2 linked regions of the Drosophila melanogaster genome follow. The protein of the gene in region 1 interacts with the protein of each later gene in a pairwise test. Each region holds a gene or a part of one and is shown on either strand. Other genes may lie near its edges. The genes, in order: CAH2 and CG17110.

Region 1 (5,946 bases):
GCGTATTAAAATTCTGTTGGATTATCTGCTTGCTAGTTGTTTAATTAATTGTTTTATTTTTTGTCGATCTATTCGCTTGGCATTGCAATGCATTAATTAATTTGCAATTCTTGATTGTATTAAACTTTTTTGCCTGCAATTAAATCCCTATTATTTTGCCATAACATAACTAATTGTTTAAACAAAAAAAAAAATATCAGTTCCCTTTGAAGTTTTCACTGGAGACAAGTTAAATGAAATGACGCAAATAATATACATATGAATATTGTTAACATCGAAGATATAAAGCATTCCTTTGTTCAGATCAATTATGGCTGTTAAATCTGATTGACTAGGCTGGTTTGCCCACTGAATTAGCTAAGATCTGTGCGCGTTTAGACAACCTATCATCAGTTTGAAAACCGGAAATATCCCACTCCGTTTGTTTTCCGACCCCAAATTAATGTAATGGCGTTGCGTTAATCTGTTTGCCAGTTTTAAAGGTAGTGATAACTATTGATTCGTTTGCGGGATTCGATGGAAAAGCCATGGCTATCGATGTCGGGGGAAATGGTTACATCGTGGAAAGTGGAAAACAAACAGGCTGCACAATGCGATTAGCATGCAATAGTAATGCCATTTAATGTGCCTAGTGCATTTGCGACATGTGATGCAAAGATAAACAGCAAAGCAATCAGGCTGAGTATCGCACACAGATATGGAGATAAGCCCCCACAATTTCACCGATCACCCCCCAGCCATTCACATATTCGTACATATATATATATACATATGTATATATGTTTGAACAATACTCTGAGCTGTCGATCATCCGGAGCCCGAAGTTTTCGGGTTTTGTAACCCCCTCAAGTCAAGACCTAACTCTCTTTTATTCGAGTGTTTTCGACTCGAACAATCGAAAATTGACTTTCCAGTCGCGTCTTTCGGTCTTCCCCGCCATGGATTACCATCTTTATCGCAGTCATCTAATTTGGCAGTTACTCATCGACGGTTAAGTCCGGCACGCACACCATTAGTCACTCGGCTATAAATTAATCGCTGGTTTTTCGGACCTCGCATCGGGCATACCCTGTGATACCTTAGATTCCCCGGCATATAGAAGCTATCAAAGAGACACTATGACATAAGGTTGAACTAAACTAACGGAAACTTCAAAAGCTTACGGCGATAGTGTAGTAGTACACCCAAGGGTGCGTCGCTAGGAACAGAAAGTTAAAAATCCCCATCAAATATGATCATGCTTTACTCTGAGCTATACGAATAAATTATTTTTCTAAACAGGTTACTACCCAATAATTTGCTTAATACCAGCAAGCTCTTTAATTATTTTATAGCGCTAAAAAAAAACTTTATAGTTAAAGTGAAGCACTTAAGAGGCACTATTAATTGCCGTACTGTTAATTAAACAGTGTAGCCCATAAAAAGTTTGTTATTATAAGACATGGATAGTAAAAACTCATTACTGGGGGATTTCTCAGTTGCGATTTCACTCAAGACAGTACTATTTATTCTAGTATCCAGTTGAGTGGAATATTTTCACAAGTAAGTCAAAGTAACCCAAATGCTTCAATTCAATGGCAAGGTTAGGGCAACCTAAAGTCATCCGGATGGTTAACCTTTTAAATTCCCATCGACACCGGATTGTGGCTGGCGTTTTGGTGGCTTGGTTTGGTTGGGTTTGGTTTCCCTTGGCTTGGCGCCCAAATAGGTCGCTTCTCTATCTCTCGAGTGGATAGGAAAGTTCCGCCGACCACTGGGCTTCCAACTCGATTGGCAGCTACGAAAATATATATATATAAAAAAAATGGAAAAAAAAAAAACGGAAAATAACACAGAAGCACCACAAACCCTCGACGAGGCTATATAAGTTGCGGTGTCGCCGATTCCCTAACCGCAGTTGTGTGACCGCGTTCGGCGGGTGAGCACGGATAGTAAGACAGTGTCTCCACTGTCAGCTTAAAACCGTTCGAAAGCCACTAGATTTGTGTGCCCCAGTGCCGCAAATAGTTACAGTTCGTAAATTAGTCGCGACTGGTGACAGTGCCCAGTAATTCCCGATAAGGGCAAGTGTGTTCCGTGAAAAGTGAGTCCGCGGCAAGGTGAAACCATGAGGAGGTGTCGCAACACCCCGTTCGCAATTGTCATTGCTCCGATCTTGATTTGTGGTGAGCTAAACTACAATATATGCTATATAGTTTTATTTACATACAAACATAAGTACATAAACATGTATATACTATAAAGGTGTAACCCGATAATGGGGAACTGTTGACCAAAAGTGCGTTAATCAAGATACGGGGATTGCAATTAAGCTCTTTGTGTGCTCTCATCTCTTGCGGCAAAGTGTTTACTCAGCTAAGTGCAGCAAATATTTAAACAATTGTCCAGGACTTTGTCGCACTACAAGGAAATTAAAACGCTCTTATTTGATCAAGCACCGTTTCAAGTGGAGGGTTTTTGTTTTATTTCGTCCACTTTACCTGCAGAGAAAACCAGAAGGGCAACCTTTATGTTAAGATATGTAGTAACATATTAGTTTAAAATAAGGGAGCAAAAAAAAAGAATAAGGTTTAACCAAACAATAGTGCGTAAAGAAGTAAAATTTATTATATGCAGATAAATATAAATAAAAACCATTTACTAGTTTACTAGTACCAGGTTATACTACTACCTACAAGTTAGACTAGTTATACATCATTACAAAGCAACTCGATTATCTTGGTTATAAATCAGTAAAATTTTTTTTTATTAAATCACAGTATGAAGCTTTTACGATGGTATCACTATCTAGAGATAGATCGAGGATCCAGAGTAGTTCTGCAATGGGAATTGTATATTTATTTATAGTTACCTACAAGCTGGTCACGTGATTGATCTTCAACCTTCCACCTGCCATTCGGGTGTCTTGGCTATTCGTCACCCGTGTCCACGATGATCAAACCAGAATGAGACATGACCAGACCACATGATACCCGCTGTCGTTAGGCAATCACAAGGGAATTTTTTCGATGTTTTTTTTTAATTATCCTATTAAGATTCACTTTGCTTAACAACGGTGTGAGCTTAGTTGGGAATACCATACTAAATGCGCTGCTAATAGAATTTGTATCGTAATTAACTTAAATTTGGCAAAAATTAGGCAACTTGTTAATGAGAGATAATTTTGGTATAGGTGTTCGGCTAAATTTGCTATCATTTTCGGTGGCCCACAAATTAGCCAATAATCGGTCGGTTATTGTATAAAAAATTTAACAAATTAAAGATTGTATTTACAATTGACTGCTGCGCCCTTCCCTATGCAAACTGAAATAAACTTTACACGCTTAATTGTTACCCGATTAATGCTAATTGAATGGCCAATTAGGGCTGTCTAGATTTTAGAACTGTCTGAACTGCTTGTCAATGAATAAAAAGTGTGCAAAATGTATAGGACACACAAATCGCATATTTATAGCTTTCGCTGTGACCAAAAATAGCTGATAGATTGCTTAAACAGGTATCACTGATTACACACCCACTCGATGTCACGAAATGTCACCGACATTATCGTTTAATTAGCACCTGGCTGGCTCGATTAACTGTCTCTGTTTGTTTGCCCCCATTGAAGAATATCTATTATATATTTTGACGCACATTCGAGGAGATGAATTTGCCATTTTAATGAATTTATTTAATACATTTTTAGCTTCTTTGGTCTTGGCCCAAGATTTTGGCTACGAGGGCAGACATGGACCCGAGCACTGGAGCGAGGATTACGCCCGCTGCAGTGGAAAGCACCAGAGTCCCATAAACATCGACCAGGTCAGCGCCGTGGAGAAGAAGTTTCCCAAGCTGGAGTTTTTCAATTTCAAAGTGGTGCCCGACAATCTTCAAATGACGAACAACGGTCACACGGTGCTGGTGAAGATGAGCTACAACGAGGACGAGATCCCAAGTGTGCGTGGTGGTCCTTTGGCGGAGAAAACTCCTCTGGGCTATCAGTTCGAACAGTTCCACTTTCACTGGGGCGAGAACGATACGATTGGCAGTGAGGATTTGATCAACAATCGTGCCTATCCCGCCGAGTTGCACGTGGTATTGCGGAATCTAGAGTATCCGGACTTTGCCAGCGCCCTGGACAAGGATCACGGCATCGCCGTGATGGCCTTCTTCTTTCAGGTGAGTGCTGACTTTTGGAGTTTAAGAACATAGATCCTTATACAGAAATATATTCCATTAGGTGGGCGACAAATCAACTGGTGGCTATGAGGGCTTCACCAACTTGCTCTCCCAGATTGACCGCAAAGGCAAGAGCGTTAATATGACCAATCCACTTCCACTGGGCGAGTACATCTCGAAGTCCGTGGAGAGTTACTTTAGCTACACTGGTTCTCTGACCACACCGCCTTGCAGTGAGGAGGTCACCTGGATTGATTTCACAACGCCCATTGACATCACGGAGAAGCAGGTAAATAAATATTTAAGTGAACCTTGTTTTTTATGTTTTACACTATACTCTTCCCTTGCAGTTGAATGCCTTCCGTCTGCTGACAGCCAACGATGATCATCTGAAGAACAATTTCCGACCCATCCAGCCGCTGAACGATCGCACCTTGTACAAGAACTACATAGAAATTCCGATTCACAACATGGGCTCGATTCCACTCGTCGATGCGGAAAATGCGGCTGGCAAGTGGAGGGCACAAGCCGCAGCAGTGCTGTTGCCCCTCGTTGTCCTCGCTGCATTGTCAAGGACCTCCATTTTCCGGGGTTTTTAATTAGAGTTCTGCGGTGGTAAATCGAAGGTTAAATCGTTAAATGCCTAGCTGGCGCTTAGGCGTCCAATTAAGCGCTGTAATTTACATTTTCCGCTCTTGTTCGCCGTCGCTGTTTGTTGTTCAAACACGAGTCCCGGTAATTTCCTTCGGCAAGGACTCAACTGCCGTCAGGACATCCATTCATATCCACACACACACACATATATATATATATATAAATATATATATATGGGCAAACAAACAGGCGGACGGTGGGCGAAATTATTAAACCCCAAATGGGCGGAGCTTCAGCTGGCACGAAACCCTTACTCATCAATTATGCAGCACCTCGCACAGCGACTGTCAACCGAATCGTACCCCGTATCCGTACCCGTTCCCGTACCCGTACCCGTTCCCGTACCCGTAACCGTATCCGTATCCGTATCCCCATATTCCCTTCCGTCCGAGGAGGCCCGCCAGTGCGAGGGGAACCCCCTGGATGTCCTCGCTATTGCACATTGTGATTTTAAATGCTTGGCACAAGCAGAGCTTTTTATTCGTGTACCTTAGATTTAAGTTTTGTAAACATAAAACCGTAATAAATTTTATTGTTTAACATCTCATAAAGGGTGTTTTTAAAATGAGTGAGCTCTTCATGTTATTGTGTGACATATTCAAAATTTGAATTTCAAAATACAATATTCGAATAATTGAAGTATACTTTTTGGCCAGGCTTAGAAATGTATTTCACCCTTAAAAAATTAACGAAATATTTCTAGACAAAGTCCTGCTTCCACGGACATCTTTACAAAGCAAGTTTGGTTTGATTACTTGTGTATTTGATTTAATTGTCGCATTATTCATAATAATCGTATCAGTCTGAGAGAGTCTTGTGCCGGCTGATGACCTATTGACCCCACCTGTCAGCTAAATTACTAATGAATTATTGCAAGCATGTGCAGAAATCTATCAGCGAAATATTAACTTTTGTATTCAAGTCGAAGAGTTCGTCTGGCGAAAGTAGAAATGATTTATTCAAAATTACTTGAGGCCGTAGTAATACTGTGGGGCCTTCCTAAAGTAAACTACATTATAGAACATTAGATAGAGGAAAAAGTCGGGATCTTGTAGGCAGCGGGCGCTATACTCTTTAAAACGGATTGTTTGTCATTCGGGTCCATTTGATGCCTAATAGCCTTGTCCTTTTGAA
Region 2 (5,822 bases), on another chromosome or scaffold:
CTGTGAGCCTGCCTTTTCAGGAACTCCACACATTCGGCTAGAAGTTAAGATGTACATGAGTAGTGCTCTTCTGTGAATTCCTTGGGGAATCCTTACTGTAATCCACATTTGGCTGCACCGTAGCTATGCGCAAATATTCGCGGAATATTTTGATTTCCTCGTTGTCCTCCCACTTTTCGGTGCTCATTTTGTGGATATGTTTTCGCTGCCAGTCACCAAACTCGAATGTGCCGCAGTTGGCAAAAAATGAACTTATACAGAAATTTTTGTGTGTTGGGTGATTTTGGTTTTATGGCCTTGGCTTCGTATTATTATCAAATAATGAGTTCGTTATCAAACTCGGTTGTTATAGAAATGATAACAGCACATATTCTTGTACAAAATTCTACCAAAACAAATGTCTAATAGCAAACGGTAGCCAATTCGATAAAGTTCACATAACACCAATAAAACTCAACCACCGTCGTTTATGGTCTGCGAAAAAATGGGTTATTATAATTTGTATTTGGTTTGATAAGAAAATAGAATACATATTAATGTAATTATTGATAATTATGATGTATATATAAAATACAACCCCTTTACGTGAAGGTTACGTTAGTTTTTGAGAACGATATCAATAGTTGTGACGATTTATTGGATATTGAATGAGGGCAAAGTCCATGACAAAAACTCTCTTCTGAAACTCGTGTTATCAGTGTGTGATTTTCATTTGTTTAGAAACAGATATGATTTGTAGTAGTCACACCATTTAAACATTTAATTTTGGTCCTACACTCATCGAGCCAAAAACATTACTCATAAGCGATAAGACCAATTGTAGCATATTGATTTCCATTTATGAGTGGAACTTCGCTTGAACATTTTATGAATCAGCAATAGAGGGGATGAGCTTCCTGTACACCTGAATTCCGTGCAGATATGTGTCGGCCCGCAAATATTCATCATGATTGTGCAGCAGCACCGGGGTGTTGTTGATGGGTGAAAATCCCAGAGCGGGAATTCCCACTTGCCGGACGTAGAAGCTATCGGTGGCGCCGGGGAAAACTCGTGTATGGGTGATCAAACCTCTGGAAAATTTCAACAAATTATGAAGTGAAAACTACACAATCTTTGTTTACCTACAGTTCATCTAGTCCCTTTTTGAAGCCCAGCCAGTAGGGATTGGAGTCGTCTATCTTGGTCACCACCGAGGGGCACTTCAGCGTGAAATCCAGTTCCACTCCACCACCGACTTCGTTGCACCACTCGCGAATCTGATTCTCCATTGCATCGGCATTCTGGTTGATGGCTATGCGAATATCAAAAGTGGCTTCTAGTACGGGGGGAACCACATTGCTTTGGACGCCACCGTTGAGTTGGGTCAGGTTCAAAGTGGTCACATCACCGGACTGCAAGGAGGAGTCCTCGGCCAGTAGCTTGACCTGGGTTTCTCGGAACTTCATCAGCTTATCCATCACAAAGTGAAACTTTTCGCCAGCCGTGCTTTTGTGCAGCAGCGATCCATGACCTGAAGTGCCACTGAATTTAAATCGAAGTTCTGCAGGGGTATAAAATGAATCAGAATATATTGCTACTGATGCAAATGGAAGACTTACGCCACAATGTACGCTCGGCGTAAAATACAGGATAAGTGTCATCTTCACTGGCGATGCCCTCGTCCAGGCTAAAGCCCACATTCATGGCTTTGAAGTAATCACCCTTGACGAATTCAGCCATGCCCATGTGTCCGCCAGTTTCCTCGTCGGGCACAAAAGTCAAATATACGGTCCTTTTTGGCTGATAGCCACTGGCTTTGAGTGCACGGACCGCAGCCATGTACTGACATCCCACGGACTTCATGTCCTGGGCACCGCGTGCATAAATCCGGCCTTGGGCGTCTATGTGGGCACCAAACGGCTCATGGGTCCACTTTTCGGGAAACACGGGCACCACGTCCATGTGTGAGTTCAATATAATGGATTTCAGCTCGGGATGCTTGCCCAGCCACTTCATAATCACCACCGGTTTCGAAGGCACAACAGGATACACCACGTCCACGCGGAGATTAAGTTTGTTAGCCTGGCGTTTTAGGAACTCCACGCATGCAGCTGCAAGGGAAATAGGGATAACAAAATCCAAGGAGCGGAAAAACAAATCCTTACTGTAGTCCACGTCTGGATGCACCGAGGGAATGCGCAAATACTCCTGGAAAATGATTATTTCCTCGTCGTTCTTCCATTGTTCCGTGCAAGTGCACATTTTGAGTTGAATGCCCCGTGGTTCTAAAGGAACTGACTTGTAATCCACCGTGCTGTTTGGTTTGAAGTCTGAGTGTGGATTGACTTAATGGCATTATCAGTTGTTGACTTTAAGCTACTTGATTAGAAGAGCCCACAATTTGCGGATTTTCATCTTTGCGCTAAGAGCTTAATGTTATCTAGCAAAGCCATAATAGTAAACCATAAACTTATTCATTTTCATTTAAATTTCCTTTTTTTGCTCACCATTAATGGTATGGACTATGGACTGGCTTATTTATTCATACATTGTTTATTTAAATGGGTTTTTATAAGCCTGCTTGTTTAAAGTTATTACAATAAACATCGACAAGTAAGCATTAAATGCATTATTTCATAATTGAATTGAGTTCGCTAAGCATCAGCTACGGCAGGAATGAGCTTCTTGTAAACCTCAATGCCGTGCAAATAGGTATCGGCTTTCAGGAATTCATCGTGGTCGTGCAGCAGGATGGGGGTGTTGTTAATGGGCGAGAATCCTAGAGCTGGAATGCCTGCGTAGCGAATATAACGACTGTCCGTGGCGCCGGGGAAAACACGAACCCGTGTCTTGAGGCCACTGAAAGAAACAAGGAGAAAGGATATCAGAGCCATGCCTTTTGTCAGAGCTTCTCATCCTTACAGGTCATCGAGTGCTTTCTTAAAGGCCAGCCAGTAGGCATTCGACGAGTCAATCTTTGTTGGCTCCACAAAGGGGTTTTTCATCTCAAACTCCAGTTCAATGCCGCCGCCAGCCTCCTCGCACCAGTCGCGAATCTGCTTCTCAAAGGCAGGGATATCCACGGTGACGGCAATGCGGATATCAAATACAGCTTCCAGCAATGGGGGAACCACGTTGCTCTGGACTCCGCCCCTCAGTTGGGTGAGATTCACAGTGGTCACATCACCAATTTCGAGGGATGAGTCGTCAGCTAGTTTTTGCACTTGCGATTTGCGGAACTCCATCATTTTGCCTACCACATAGTTCAGCTTCTCGCCAGCAGTATTCGGGAGCAACAGTGATCCGTGACCAGCAGTTCCGCTGATCTTGAAACGAAGATCTGCAGGAAAACATGGCTAGCTTAAATTGTTTGTATGAGTCAATCCTACTCACGCCAAAGAGTCCGTTCAGCGTAGTACAGAGCGTAGGTTTCATCCGCACTAGAGATTCCCTCGTCGAAACTGAATCCCACATTGAGCTTCTTGAAGTAGTCGCTCTTTACCAGCTCCCGCATGCCCAGGTGGCCGCCAACCTCCTCGTCCGGAACATAAGTGAGATAGATCGTCCTCTTGGGTTGATAGCCACTGGCCTTGAGGGCACGCACAGCTCCCAGATATTGGGTGCCCACGCACTTCATGTCCTGCGATCCGCGCGCAAAGATGCGACCCTCTGCATCTAGATCCGCGCTGAATGGACCGTGTGTCCACTTCTCCTCAAAAACGGGCACTACATCCGTGTGCGAATTGAGAATGATGGAGGGCAGTTCCGGCTGGGAACCCTGCCATTTTAGCACCACCACGGGATTCTGCTCGTTCACCGGATAGATAACCTCCACGGGCAGGTCCAAGCTGGCAGCCTGGCGTTTCAAGAATTCCGTGCAAACGGCTATAAATAGCAGACACATTTTATGGCAAGGTCATAAAGATCAGGGTACTCTTATCGCAGCCTCATAAAGATATACATGCCCATTGGAACTCACTGTAATCCACATTTGGATGCACCGTTGGTATGCGAAGATATTCGCGAAAGATCTTAATCTCCTCGTTGTTCTCCCACTTGGCTGTACTCATTTTGCACTCTATAAAATGTAAATAATTAGCCGGCTGATAACAAATCAATTAAATTGTTTGCTGAAATCAGCTGATCGACACTTCACCACAGCGGAGAGCAGACACACAACACACCTTTCGCAACACTGGCTCGACGACGACTGTGCGATCGTGGAGAGAAGCGCGCGTTTAAATATCAGCGATAAGCGAGCGAAAGAGAGGGCATGATAATAAATCCGAGAAGGAACTAAACCTAATTTCTTATCATACGGTGCTGCCTATAAACTGTTTTATCTTACGCATTTGTTTACTTTTTAGATGGCTAATCTACTTTTCAGTACAAATGACTTGCAGTTAACAATTGCTTCCGTCATTAATAATATTCGTGTCTTCCCATTTCTATATGAGAAACTAATTTGATGAATTTAATATCCAGCACTCAAAAATTCAATTGATTACAAAAGAGACATCCCCTAATAGTAATTTCTATCTTGTACTGCATTATTTATAAATTAAACTGAATTTTGCAGCTCATAGCACAAGGAGTGGAACTCTATTTCTGTACCATCCCAATTGGTAGGGATTCCACTCCATGTATTGGTGAACATTCTTCCATCACTTTCCGGTACATATGAACCCACTTTAAGGCTCATTTACTTGGGATTCCCCCTGGCTGATGGATTTATTTGCCTTAAATGGAGGCGAAGGTGCTTCGCATTGCTTTGGGGGTAACAGGACTGCAGGATTGCTGGATTGATGGTGACCCCATTTGGCCCGCAGCCAAGATTTCCGATTACTGATGAATCGCATGCAATCGCATTCCAATTCCAGTTGATTTGTTAATCAAGATGCACTGCACACGTTCGCACCACACGCCCAGTGGGCTTCCGGGTAAACAAGTTGCCCCTCCTCGGGCCTTTCAGCCACTCGAATCCAATTCAAATTTCGCATATTAATAGTGTTCCTGCTGCACTTGCCGACTTTGCTGCACTGCGTCTGTTGTCCCAGTAGTGTGTCAAAAGTTAGTTTCGCATTTAGATTTCACGCTTGTTCCCATACAGAAAAAAAGGTGGTTGGGCCAAAAAAAATACACAAAACCAAAGCCCTCTGATTTGTGTCGCATACACACCCTGCTAGGCCAAAGTTGATATTGTTTTAGTGTGTGTACTCACAAAAAGTCATTAAAAGTTCATTAACAATGTTGCTGGGATTTTAATGGCGCACCAGCAGCAATAGCAGCAACTACAGGCTACACATGTCTGCATTTTAAATAACATCCAAGCCCCACATTCGTACAAACTCGTACTCTCCCCATTTACAGCGTCACATAAGTCAAATAAATACACAAGTTTCCTGCGCACAAACACTCGTTCAGCTGCACAATGGGCCAAAATGGCAAGTTTTTGGCATAATTCGAATGTAATGTCCCTAGAATAGAGTCTATAAGTCTGTACAGAGGCTAAAGTAGTTCATTCTTAGTCGAGTAAAACACGAATCTACTTATCTGATGCCAAATTATTCACTTTTCGCCCATGGTGGTGACTTGGGGGCGCGCCTGTTTGTTGTTTGCTGATGTTGCTGCTGAGCTGACATGTTGTCGCTGGGCAAATAAACTAAATGAAAATTTTGTATATTGTAACAATTATCCGGGCAACGCCGGAAACTGTTTGCGTTGAGCACCCAAAACCTGCAGAACTGCAGAGATGGAACCCCGAGGATATCGCCTAATCCGTTATGGGCGCATTACCTGGCCAAAAAAAGCAAAAAAAAAAAATAAAAGCGAGAGAACTGATA

Evidence for each region.
Region 2: the proteins of CAH2 (region 1) and CG17110 interact in a two-hybrid assay, tested with the Drosophila melanogaster proteins (one large-scale study listed by BioGRID).

Annotation. Positions count from the first base shown.
Region 1 is NT_037436.4:12,177,991-12,183,936, forward strand, and holds CAH2 (carbonic anhydrase 2), read left to right. Parts: upstream 1-1,885; 5' UTR 1,886-2,107; coding exon 2,108-2,165; intron 2,166-3,685; coding exon 3,686-4,158; intron 4,159-4,219; coding exon 4,220-4,447; intron 4,448-4,508; coding exon 4,509-4,757; 3' UTR 4,758-5,357; downstream 5,358-5,946.
Region 2 is NT_033777.3:23,090,098-23,095,919, reverse strand, and holds CG17110 (uncharacterized protein), read right to left. Parts: upstream 4,197-5,822; 5' UTR 4,164-4,196; intron 4,144-4,163; exon of another isoform or gene 4,058-4,143; 5' UTR 4,050-4,057; coding exon of another isoform or gene 3,959-4,049; intron 3,865-3,958; coding exon of another isoform or gene 3,373-3,864; intron 3,320-3,372; coding exon of another isoform or gene 2,902-3,319; intron 2,839-2,901; coding exon of another isoform or gene 2,634-2,838; 5' UTR 2,487-2,633; exon of another isoform or gene 2,461-2,486; intron 2,423-2,460; exon of another isoform or gene 2,420-2,422; 5' UTR 2,242-2,419; coding exon 2,145-2,241; intron 2,091-2,144; coding exon 1,599-2,090; intron 1,541-1,598; coding exon 1,126-1,540; intron 1,071-1,125; coding exon 866-1,070; 3' UTR 736-865; downstream 1-735. Other genes in the region: CG17109 (uncharacterized protein), read right to left, coding at 1-37, 97-187; CG6726 (uncharacterized protein), read right to left, coding at 2,634-2,838, 2,902-3,319, 3,373-3,864, 3,959-4,049.